Linked DNA regions of Drosophila melanogaster. The protein of the gene in region 1 interacts with the protein of each later gene in a pairwise test. Each region holds a gene or a part of one and is shown on either strand. Other genes may lie near its edges.

What was found. Proteins that work in one complex are often made in the same cells at the same time.
Region 2: the proteins of CG4198 (region 1) and CG17230 interact in a two-hybrid assay, tested with the Drosophila melanogaster proteins (one large-scale study listed by BioGRID).
Region 3: the proteins of CG4198 (region 1) and CG14818 interact in a two-hybrid assay, tested with the Drosophila melanogaster proteins (one large-scale study listed by BioGRID).

The regions. Positions count from the first base shown.
Region 1 is NC_004354.4:5,311,625-5,315,693, reverse strand, and holds CG4198 (uncharacterized protein), read right to left. Parts: upstream 2,437-4,069; 5' UTR 2,262-2,436; coding exon 1,549-2,261; intron 1,483-1,548; coding exon 762-1,482; 3' UTR 504-761; downstream 1-503. Other genes in the region: CG15930 (uncharacterized protein), read left to right, coding at 1-236; dhd (deadhead), read right to left, coding at 2,911-3,234; TrxT (thioredoxin T), read left to right, coding at 3,983-4,069.
Region 2 is NT_033777.3:11,435,804-11,440,784, forward strand, and holds the start of CG17230 (uncharacterized protein), read left to right. Parts: upstream 1-1,981; 5' UTR 1,982-2,077; coding exon of another isoform or gene 2,078-2,278; 5' UTR 2,279-2,296; intron 2,297-2,339; coding exon of another isoform or gene 2,340-2,562; intron 2,563-2,620; coding exon of another isoform or gene 2,621-2,883; intron 2,884-2,976; coding exon of another isoform or gene 2,977-3,084; intron 3,085-4,081; coding exon of another isoform or gene 4,082-4,832; intron 4,833-4,981. Other genes in the region: CG5281 (uncharacterized protein), read left to right, coding at 377-1,420; sals (sarcomere length short), read right to left, coding at 2,078-2,278, 2,340-2,562, 2,621-2,883, 2,977-3,084, 4,082-4,832.
Region 3 is NC_004354.4:1,878,519-1,881,775, reverse strand, and holds CG14818 (uncharacterized protein), read left to right. Parts: upstream 1-2,001; 5' UTR 2,002-2,120; intron 2,121-2,195; exon of another isoform or gene 2,196-2,217; 5' UTR 2,218-2,285; coding exon 2,286-2,364; intron 2,365-2,425; coding exon 2,426-2,637; 3' UTR 2,638-2,757; downstream 2,758-3,257. Other genes in the region: Coa8 (cytochrome c oxidase assembly factor 8), read right to left, coding at 541-756, 830-1,093, 1,153-1,203; CG14805 (uncharacterized protein), read right to left, coding at 2,772-3,257.

The DNA.
Region 1 (4,069 bases):
TGTATGCCCATGTCGGCGAACTGGATACCGCTCAGGGTATATTCTCTATGCGGCTATCGTATGATGAAACTTTTGTGCCCACCATCAACGATCTAATCGAGTCGCGGATCAAGTTGGAGTCCTGTTGCTATGCGCCCGAACTGCAGCCTTTTGGGATGGTCGAGCCGCTAATTATGCCGCTGCACGATTATGATGATGATGATGATGATGATGATGATTTCGCATTCGTTCCATAGGGATTACCATGTGCCCAAGGCGCTGAATCCATTTCAAAATAAAAATGAATGACGCACTTCTAGTGGGCAACCAGGAGCAGAAGCAGAAGCAGGAGCAGGAATGATGAAAACAGGACAAAACCAGACGACGGAACATACATAAATCATCAAGCTGGCATGTTTGCCAATCATTTATCTCAGGGATGAACTGCATCATTTGAAAAGTGTAACTTGAACATGAAATTGCTGTTTGTTTTTTTTTTTCTTTTTTTTTTTTTATTATTATTTGTGAAATGTAATACCATACCCATAATTTTATTACCAAATAAAGATGCGAAAAGGTTGCCAGCCAAGTGCACGTGCACAACTTCTGGACAGGATGGGCCGGGAATTCTAAGCCAAAACTAGCGTAGCATGCCAAATAAGTGAACTTTGCAGGCGCTGCAGACTTGCCTGGTTGGTTGGTTGGATGGTTTGGATTTCCATACCGAATTGCAGTAAAAAAAATAGATGTGTGCTGCAGTGCGTCTGCCGCTCGTCGGCTGGCTAGAAGGGCTCCTCCTGCGCCTGTGTGGCAGCATCACTCGGCTGCTCGGCGAACATGCGCTGTCGACGGCACACAGTTGGCGTTGGCATATCGTCCGCATTGCTAATGGAATCGCAATCGTAGTGACTGGGCACCTCGGGTGGCGGAGCATCGGCATAGTCGGTTGGGATGTCGGAAGCGGCGCCGAACCACGACAGCATCATTGAGACCTCATGCCACCTACTCGAATTGGACTGCGAATCCAGCTGCAGTTCATCGTTTAGCGGCGGCGGCACCGTTCCACTTGGCTGATGCGATCCAATGGTGGACGATTGGGCGCCACCAACAACCCGAACCCAATTGCTGCCGCTGGCCAGCGGAGATAGGTGCGTCTTTCGATACGAATCAATGGAGCTTTTGACTCGACGCATATCCAGCGGTGATGTGGCTGCCAATGTGGATCTTTCCTTGTTCAGCGTCACCAGGCAGGACTGCCGCTCCGGCTCCTCATCCGCGTCGCCATCACGCCGATGGCGTGTGTATTCCAGCTCCTCCTCACCATCCAGATCCTCGTCCATCGATTGCGCCAGACAGTCGTTCGAATGGAAGCTTTGCTCCGAGTACGACTGCCCCTCGCATTCCATCTGCAAATGATCGCCCTGCTCCGTCGATCGCTCACTGGTCACCGCCAGCAGTTCCTGCTGTTGTTGGCAATTGTCCGTGTATTCATGCCTGGGCCTGCTGGCCAAAACAAAAAAACAAACAAAGGTGAACATAACCCCACAATTCTCTAGAAGATTTACATACCTTGTGACCGGCTGCTGCGCTATGGACACCTGGTAGGAATTGGATGACGGTGCCGCCGGTGATGCTACTGTCGCCGCCAACGCTTGCTGCTGTTCATGTCTGCGCTGGCGTTGGATGAGCATGCGTTGGATATTCTGTCGCGACTGATCGTTGCCATAGGAGATGCGCTTGGCGGCCAAGTCGCGACGCTCCACGGCCGCCCGGCGTGCATCGTTCGCCGCCTGCAGCTTGGCCGTCATCCGGAGTTCGCTGCGCAGGAAACCGCCGGTGCCGGCCTCGGCCATTAGGCCATTCCGACGCGAGATCTCCTGGCCCAGTTGGCGTGCGCGTGCCAGCGTCTCTATGCGCTGTTTGTGCATCCGCTGCTGGGGCGTGCTGCTAGCCAGCGTGATAGCACCGTGTGCCTGTTGCCGTCTCCGGCGGGTAACGCGTCCGCCGGCTAAACCAAACGATTGGTCAACATTCGATGGCGATGATGCCGTCGATGTGCCGCCACCGCTGGCGCCACCGGCCGCCCCGCCAGCCACCTTAATTACCTCGATCTCGCGAAATAGCCGCTTTAATCGCACCTGTCGCATCTTCATTTCGATGGTGCGATCGTTGAACTCCTGGATGCGCTCGTACTCATCACGCAGACGCTGCAGTTGGCCATTCTTCTTGCTCTCGTTGAACATGCGACGAAAGTAGGGCGTCGATTTGATCTGATACGACATGATGGTGTGGTTTCTACTCTACCACGGATTATGGATTGGATTTACACGAAATTTGATTTTTATTTACTAACGAAATCCGTACAATTTGGATGCGACCGAAATGTGCGTTTTGGATTTGATTGAATTTGTGCTGCGGAATGTTTGGGATTTTTTGTTTTTCGTGTGTGTGATCTCAAGTTTGGTTAGCAAATGCCAAATGTTGCTGGAACCCGAAATGACATGACCACGCAGCGCCTACTTGGTTAACAATCCAAATGCTGTGGGCAAAAAAAAAACAAAGCTGATTCCATGTTAACATTTAAATGTCCAGAGTGGTTACAATAATTTATTGATCGAATTGCTTCTTAGTGCCTGAATCTTAAAGCTAAATGGGCGGGATTATGTGTCGCAGACACGCCTCCGCGCCACAAATCATAGCATATAAGTAGTAGTAGTAGCATAGCATATATCATCTGGTCACTGCTGTTGGCTGCACTGCATCTCCTGCTACCCACATCTCGCGCTTACAAGCTAAACATCACATGAGCATACACATAACATCGAATACATAAACGAACACAAATGAGGCGAACATGTTTAAAAGATGAGTTAAATAAGTAAAAAAAAAAAGATGCGCTGCTGATTGCTAATTGCTGGGCAGGATTGCTGCTTACGCCTTCACCAGCTTGGCCATCATGTTGGTCAGCTTGTGCTCGTCGGCGCCGGCAAAGGAGGCCAAGCGTCGATTTTGGCGCAAAAAGACAAACGTTGGCATGCTGCGCACCTTGTAGCGCTCCGTCAGCTCCTCGAATTTGTCCACATCGATCTTGAGCACCACCGCCTTGCTGGAGTATTTTCTGGCCAGCGATTTGACGGTGCTCTCCATTTCCTTGCAGGGACCACACCATGTCGCATAGAAATCCAGCACGATTAGCTTGTCGTCGGCCGCCTCGATGCGCTTGTGATAGTCGTTCATGGTGCGTACGGATGCCATTTTTATGTCGCGAGGATTAGCAAAGTGTTTTTCTTCTTTTTTTTAAATTAAAGAACTTGACGTGATGGGGCTGTTGGCGCTTTCGCTGCAAATTGTGAACTGATTGAAATGGCGGCTGCGTAGGCGACTTTATAGGGGTCTCCAAGTGGCGGTGTGTAGAGTGGAATTCCCGCCAATTTGCATGCTGAATTCTCGCGTGGCCGCTAAACAAAATGGCGGCCCATGGAGAGTGCAAAATGGCGGGCGTGTTAGGGTTGCCAGGTCGTTGGGAAAGCCAACCGAGTGTGTTGGGGGGTGGGGAACATACTTATTCACCACGGCAGGTCTATCGATATCGATATGAATATTATTATCGTAATTATGGCAAAATAATGGCGTCACACGACATAGTACTAATATTTTCCTCGAGTGTTGCCATAGCCGTGGTAGGTTCGAAGCCAAACTCACCTCAACACACCGCGCCGCTGACATTTGAAAACACTTTTTTTTCAATCCAAGAAGGCCGCAAAATATTTGGCGAAAACTGTATAAAAGAACGCCTGCCGCCCTACAATTTTCATTTCGGGCTGATATCTCGGCGAGGGCAGAGCTCCATTAAAATTCAAAAGTAACAAAACAAATCAAGTGAATTTTACACCCAAAACAAGATTTTCTAACATTTTCCTTTTTTTTTTCTTTCTTCTCTTCCCATTTTTTTTTTTTTTTGTTTCGTTTCGATTTGCAATCCGTTTGGAATTTAGTTAAAGTCATGGTGTACCCAGTGCGGAACAAGGACGATCTTGACCAGCAGCTAATCCTCGCCGAGGACAAGCTGGTGGTAATTGATTTTTATGCA
Region 2 (4,981 bases), on another chromosome or scaffold:
TTTAAAAAGGTGGCATTGTTGGCTGGACTAAGATCTTCGGGGTGGCAATACTGGCCCACAGGGTTTTCCGGAATCTCCATTCGCGAAAAGAATTAAAAATGTTTAATTAAACGCAGTCGGAGCGTGCAAACAATGAATAAAACTCAGTGAAACTGGCGGCGGGGAAACGATGTGCCATTGAAAACGCAGAAAAGGCGGCAGCAGACAGTGACACAGCGCGTAAATAAGGAAGGCAATCGAAAGAAATCGATTTTTCAGGGCAGGTGGGCTACCATTAGACTCCCCACACTCATGCACACATATTGATGCAAATCCCATTTGCAGGATGCTGAAACTTTGAAGGAATCCAGAAACTGTAGAGAAGAAACCCCACAGAATGCCGGAAAACCTCGAGCTTCAGCAGTTCCAGGAGGGCGCCCCGCCCCCAGATCCCGCCCCCCGTTGGCTGGAGCGCTTGCAGCGACGATTGGGCGCCGATTGTCCCTACTTGGGTATCCTGCTGGCCACGCTCTCCTCGCTCTTCTTCTCCCTGTGCTCGGTGATTGTGAAGGGACTGGTGGACGTGAACCCCATGGAGCTGGCCTCGTTTCGATTCGTCGGAGTCCTGTTGCCGGCACTGCCCATCCTGATATACACGCGACAGCCGGTGTTTCCGGAGGGCAAGAGGGTGATACTGCTGCTGCGCTGCTTCATGGGCACAACGGGTCTGATGCTCAGCTTCTATGCCTTCCGACACATGCCCCTGGCCGATGCGAGTGTCATCATCTTCTCCACGCCCGTTTTCGTGGCCATATTTGCGCGTGCCTTCCTCAAGGAGCCGTGTACGCTGTTCAATGTCCTGACCATCAATATGACATTGCTCGGCGTGGTCCTCATCACGCGCCCACCCTTTGTGTTCGGTGACACGGCGGAGAGTGAGGATGTCGCTGGGAAGACGTACGACATCTGGGGACCAGTGGCCGCCATATCATCCACACTCTTCGGAGCCAATGTGTACATCCTGCTGCGGGCGCTCAAAAACCTGCACTTCTCCGTCATCATGACGAATTTCGGTACCATCGCTCTGGTCTACACACTGATCGTTTGCGCATCTATTGGAGCTGTGTGCTGGCCAAGCTGCGGACGGGATCGTTGGCTGGTCGTTGTACTGGGCGTATTCAGCTTCCTGGGCCAGATCCTGCTCACGCTATCGCTGCAGATCGAACAGGCCGGACCAGTGGCCATTGCTCGCTGCGCCGACATCGTCTTCGCCTTCGTCTGGCAGATGCTCTTCTTCGGAGAGACGCCCACCGCTTACTCGCTGGTGGGTGCGGTGATGGTGATGGGATCTGTGGTTCTGACGGCCCTGAAGAAATGGGCAGGCACCCTGCCACGCGAGTCGTCGCTGCGGAAGCGATTCAGGCTCATCCTGCTGGAATAGTGTGGTTCCAGAGCAACTAAAAGAGTTCGCGGTTTCTCCCTCGTCTTGTCACATCGTTCTCACCCAATCCCGGCAAGCATCAGTGGCCGGCAGCAAACCCGGTTCATTCATCGTAGACTCTACTTATATCAAGGCTCAGATCGTAGATTAATCAAAATATATAAGAAGGGACGCGTGATATCCACTCCACTCATAAGTAAATACTCGTAGTGCGTGTTTAGTTTAGCCAATTTCGCCGATTTGTTGTTTTGTACATTGTTATACATGCTTAAAATACGGTAATAAATACAACTTATGAATAAAATAAAAACAAGTTATAATTTGCATTTGAATTTCACGCTCTTCTACATGCAAATTTGCACTACATTTTTATATAATTCATTTAAATAGTTATAAATAAACAATAAAATTTCAAATCTACAGCGACACAACATTTTACATTACTTTGTAAAAATTCCGTTACATGTAGAATACAGACGGCGCGACATCGATACATACATCGACATCATACATCGATTGCAGAATTAATTTTACATCCACCTCTAGTTTTTCGTTTGTTTGTTTGTTTATTATTGTTTATGTTTATATTCTCGAAGCACACACACTCGAAAAAACAGAGCAAGGAACGGAAACAGAAACGGAAGACAAGCTGAGGGACTAGAAGCCCAAATCGGCAATAACCGCGTCCAGTTCGTCCTGCAGATTGGTGGCCCGCGATCGCACCTGCACAATTTGATCCTGCAAATTGTCGACGTTCGCCTGGAGCAGCACATTGCACTTCTTCATCGCCGCGAACCGGCTCTCGTGCTTCTTCACGCGCGGCTCCACATTCGCCTTCTTCGCGGAGTTGGGCGAGTCCTGCGGAATACGGTACAGGTGAGCTGGCTAAATAGTTTACGATTCTCTGGGGCTAACTCACCTCTGGCTCGGACTCGCTGCCCGTCTCCGCCTCACTTTCCTCCGATTCGGACTCCTCGGACTCGTCGTCGGATTCCTCCTCTTCTTCGCTGGCGTGCTCCTCCTCGGCCTCCTCTTCGTCCTCGTCCTTCTCCTCGCCGTCCACATCGTCTTCGTCTAGCTTCATGGAGGCAGCCATCTTCTGCACCTCCTTCTCCAGCTTCTTAAACTTCTTGTTCTCCTCCCTGTCATCCAGAGTTGTTTCCAGTTTAAGAACAATACTACATTACAATTTGTACTCACTTGAGGATACTCTGGTTCTTCTTCATGGCTTGCTTGAGGGCGTCCTTCTCCTTCTTGGCCGCCTCCTCTTTGACCTTCAGTTTGGTAAGCTTGCTACGCAGGATCTTGAGCTCCTTGCCAGAGCGACGCTCCCTGCGCTCCACCTTCTTCTCCTCCGGCTCGTCAGGATCGCTTTCGCTGACCTCAGGCTCCAGTTCCGGCGAGCTATCCCTTCCAAAGTTTGCATCGCTTGGTCGACGCGATCCGTCCAAGGATCCACCGCCCTGCAGCCGCAGTTAATGCAAAACGGAAAACGGGAAAGAAGGGATACACACATTGGATTAGTGAGGGCATCCTTGAGCGGGGCCTGATTTTACCTGATGCCGTGCTGCATGGTAGTGGTCGTAGTGGAAGCAATCGTCGTAGTCGTCGTCGTCGTAAGCAAAGCAATTACTAATGTGCGGTCTGTTAGTGCTTGGTGTCGCCTTTGCAAGAGAGCGTGAACGGGTTAATCGGTTAGTTGCCGCGGAGTGCAATAGCAAAGCTTTCAGGGGGATAGGAATCGGGACCGGACGTGTCCTAGACGGGTCATAACACCGCTTTGGTCTGGGCGGAAGCAGAATGCGGGTGGCGGGAGTCTTTCATGCAGCATGCGTCCGGCAGTTGGAGTTTAAGGTCGTCTACACACGAGATCTTCGGACATTGTTTATACCTCTCGTTTCGTTTTGATAAAGATTACATTTTTTAATGTCTACCATGGCATGGCCAGGTCCATTATTTGCTTAAAGAAAAATTCTGGAACCTTTTGAGCATTTCCCCAGAAACTTGATTTTGTTTTGTCTGGAATTGTGTGCAAGCAAACAGATAGCACAGGTAAGGGATGAAGGCACCTTACTTGAAAAGTATGGCTTCCGAAATTTAATACAAATTGAGCTTTGATAAAATATGGTCAGTTTTGAATTTCATTTTTCGCTTTCTCTTGATAATAATTTTACTATTCAACTTGTCTGATTCCTTCTCAACAGCAAGCTGTCTGCTGGCTTCAATCAGATTTCTGGTATTTTAAGTCTCGTGTGCAAACCGTTTTTAAGAAGGAAGAAAACAAGGTGTATCCACGGGTAATCCTTTCCCAGACCCATTCCACATTTGTGTCAAGTGTTGTCAGCTGATCTGTTTCTCTGGCTACAGTGGCTACTAGGGACAACTAACGAGGGATCTAAGGCGGAGTCTACGAATTGCGGTGGCTTCGTTAGCTGCTCCCGTCTACTTGCCGCCCTCAGCGGACGCAGCGAGGCGACGCCGGCGACACTAAAAACAAGAAAGAAGGACTAGCTTCGGAGTCCGATGCTTTGCATACCCTTGGAGATAGTTATGTTGTAAATGGTTGTAATCCAAAATCCTAATCTCAACTGACAACACTTTGAGCAGCATCCCATTACCTACATATACATATTACCGAACCCGTTCTGCAAAAGGAATTACCTGAAGAGCTGCTGCCAACTTGCGTTCGAGCAACTGAATCTGGCGGCGCTGCTCCTCGATCTCCGTCTTGGCCTCCACCAGCTGCTCGGCGGTGCTCTGATAGTTTTGCTCCACCTCCTTGGACACCTTCCGTGCGTCCTCTACCTCGCGCTTCAGGGAGTTGACGTAGGTCTGTTCGGCGGTGGGCGTAGGATCCATGGTGGCCACAATCACATTGGATCCGTACTCGAGATTCTTTTCGCGTGACTTCTCGCGTTCCAGTTCGGTCTCTAGGGTGCGGATTTTGGCCAGCAGCTTCTTGTTCTCGCGATCCTGCGCCTCACGGTTTCGCAACTCCAGTGCCAGCATTTGTTTGGTGCTCTGCAGATCGTCGCGGATCTTGTCGATGTCGTCCAGCTCGTCGGGGCTTTCCTCGTCGATGGACATAGCCGATACGATGCTGGGCCGGGATCCTCCGGCTCCCAAGGCCGTGGCACTGCCCGGTCCGAGTGCATGGCTGCTAGGCGCCTCGCTGAGCATGTTGATCTTCGACTGCGACTTCTGCAACTGCTCCTCGATGGTCATCTGTCGGCGGAACTTGCGCAGACCGTCCAGCACCGGCTTGCTGCGATCGTTGGTCTTCGTTGGCTTCAACTTGATGCCGCCCTGGATCTGCTTGAGCAGCTTGTTGTGCGAGTTGCCCTTCTCCGTCTCGTAGATGAACTTGTCGTCCAATTTGGTTATCGACTTGCACGTCAGGATGGGCTGAGATCTATTAGGATTTGAATTGTTATAAAAGAGATTTTTGAACATTTTCGTGCAGAGTTATCTATTATTTGGCTGCTGGTACTTCTGCACACTTAAAATTTAAGTAAAAGTCATTAACATTTGCCGGATAAAGTGGCGTAAACGCAGTAAGAT
Region 3 (3,257 bases), 3.4 Mb from region 1:
ATGTTACTGCTAGGACACGACCACCCCTGTAATGTATTTCGGACCCCCTCTCCTCACACAGTCGCTGGAGCACCTAATTTTATTTGTTTTAGCACCATCTCCACATTCATCACTACCACCATTGCAATTATCGCGAGGAAACTGACCGCCCCGATGGCCAACCCAAAACTTGACTTTATGCGTGTGTGCCTTCCCCTCTGTTTACCATTATTATTATTATCATAATTGTAGCGGTTATCTTTCAATATTCGGCCACTTTACATGGGGAGCGATCCTTCTTTCGCTGCGTGTATCGTGCGCAACCTTCTTTGAATATATACACTGATAAGGATATGAACACCTACTTCTATTTTATTTTATTTAAATAGTTTGCGATTACTTTTAAGTACATTAACTAACTCCGAACAACGTGTATTTTTCATCCCCTTAAATAGTAGCTAAGTAAATTTTATGCCACCATTTTACGCACGTGATCTTTTATTCCAACTTATTGCAAACGGCAAACTGGAAATTACGAAATGGGGACGACAGATATTGCACCTAAGATCTTCGCTTGGCCAGCGCCAGAAGCCTCTGGAGCTGGACTGCGGCAGCCAGGGTGAGTATGTCGAAGTTCTTCAGGTACCAGGAGATGTTGTACATGATGTGGATGCGCCAGTTCTTGTCGAGGAACGCTTTGTAGAAGTGGCTCATCTGGTCCGCGGACACTTCGCTGGTTCCGCTTTCCTTGTGCAGGCGGATGAAGTCTTCCTTTTCCTGTAAACGAACCAATTCGAAAGAGACGACATTAGCGGACTAGAAAGAGATGGCACAGTGGTCGTGGTTGTACCTCGTAGAAGCGCTTATTGTGTTTTGTCCAGAAGTCCGTGTTCCATGCCTCCACCTCGATCCGCTTAAGACGCAGGCTTCTTGCCAGCCGCGTCTCCTCATCGCCGTAGTGCCGTACGTACGGACGTAGGTTTGATTGCGCGTCTGGCGGTCCTATATAGTCGCACTTCACCGTCTTGGGATCGGGCTTGTGTGGCAAACCGACGACGGGTTTTTCTTGTGGCGGTGGACATCCCGGCTGCACTGCGGCATAGCACCGCGGTAGCTGTGTAAACAAGAAATTGAAAATCCGAATCCTATAAGGCAACACACTCATGGACTCACGCTGAACTGGAAAAGCGATATCCGGGGCTGGCACCTAAAACATTTGTTCATTTTTCGGTTATGTTATGTGAGGTGCAGTGTGGCCGACTGTCACGCTAGGCAACAGATTAAATATTGATGCCAGCAAATATTACGGGCATTCGCATGCGATTCTCGACTGAATATCTGGAGTTCAGAAACCAGTAGCCAGTAGCCAGCCAGCTGATACATGTCGACAAAATCAAGAAACAGTTTCTTTTTCCAAAATGGTCGCATATTGCATGTTTCCAGTCGCAATTGAACCAATAGGAATGCAGCCTTGTGAACAGTTAGACCAAAGCTTAAGCAAGAGTATCAGAAGAGATGTGAACCCCTCTTGTTTCCCTGTTCGTGACACGCAATCGGCACGTCATGCTCGAGCAAATACCAAAATCCCTAGTAATTTGCTTGCGTTGTGAAAATAAAACGATATACATGCACATCTCTAAAAACAACGTAGAAACAGAGGCTAGTACACTTTCTGTTTATTATGCTCGCCTCATGATTGCAACAAGAAATCTACTGTCGCAATTCGATGCTTCAAAATTATTTCGGTCAAAATGGGCAAGATTATCGACTGTAGACACCAGGCGAACAGAAAACGTTGGAGTACGACCGCTGATCGCTCTGAGAAATTAAACAGCCGTTCATTGTCAGAAGGGGTCAACTCTGGCCAATCAACATTAAGCACTATGGGAAAGAACCGTTCGATTAAGTCCAGTCAACGCCTAGAGATACGTAAACCATTTGTTTCATTGTTCGTGTCACGAATTAGGCACGACATATGCGAATAAGCCAAAATTTCCCATGCTATTCCATTGGTACGTAAAAATAAAACGAGGCACGGGCACATCCCTAAAAACTAAGTGGAAACTTAGCTTTGGACTTTTGCAGTGGATTATGTTCGCCTAGTGTTTTGAGCTAAAAAGTGTTTTCGTAATTACAAAAACGTACGTATGTACTGAATTCCCCTATTAAGTTTTTTTTTTTATATCGTATTTGAACTGAGACCTATCGTTCTCTTCTAACCACCTCTATCGTTTATAGCTATCCCGTGACAATAAATCCAACTGGAAAAAACAAACGGAAAAACTCCGGGGAAAATTCCAGGGAAAATGTCACCCAAAAACAATCATGATCCCTCGTCGTCCGGCGACTCTGGCAACACCAATGTCCAGGAGGCGGACCTCCAAGGTGAGTTTTGACAGCGCCCCGTTTCTGCTCGGGATTGGCTCTAATGGAATGACCCCTACAGAGATGGAGGACGTGAACAACAGTCTGGACGCTCTCAGCTGTGCCCTGGACGCCGTGGAGCAGCGCACAGACGACATTATGTCCCAACTACGGGAGCTGCTGAACTCCAACCGAGAGATCCGTCGCCTGATTGCCGAGGAAAATGACAACGCTCCCGAATCGGGAGATGACAACATGGACGGGCAGGCGGGCAGCGAAGCGGCACCCAAGTAGATCCCTCTACGAGAAGTTATTGTTTTGTTCATCCAAATCGTTTTTAGGCACAATCAGTGCTGTTTTTTTTCTATTATCATGTATTTTTGTCCTAAGTCCTAAGTAAACGTAATTGAAAGCAAGCTTAAGGTTCACTATGTCTTCCGCGCTTTCTTGCGCTTTGTCTTCTCTGTGATTTCAGCCTGGCCATTGGTATCGCTAGTAATATACTTGAAAGCTATCTGGAACAAGCGCATTGACTGCGCTTTGAGGCGCGCATTCTCGGCCTGCAGCTCTTGCACTCTTTCGTCGCTTGTCTGTGCTGAGTCTGGCTGATATTCTGCATACGATTTTTCGGACTCAGCTTCCTTGGAGGCGGTTTCCATTGGCTCGGATTCAGGTTCTTCTTCTTCGACCTCGGAATCCTCGACATCTGTAGCTTTGGTTTCCGCCTCAATTCCTTCGTCGTCCTCGTTCTTTCCCGAACTCATGGACGCTATAAGTTTGAGTATTATCTCCTCATCCGTACCCGGATGACTTTGGGTGTAGTCCAGCTCCGGTGTCTTGCGTCCCCCGGAGTAGTCCGGATCGAAGAGCTCGATACAGTCATTCTCATCCCACGGACTAATCATTCGCTTTAG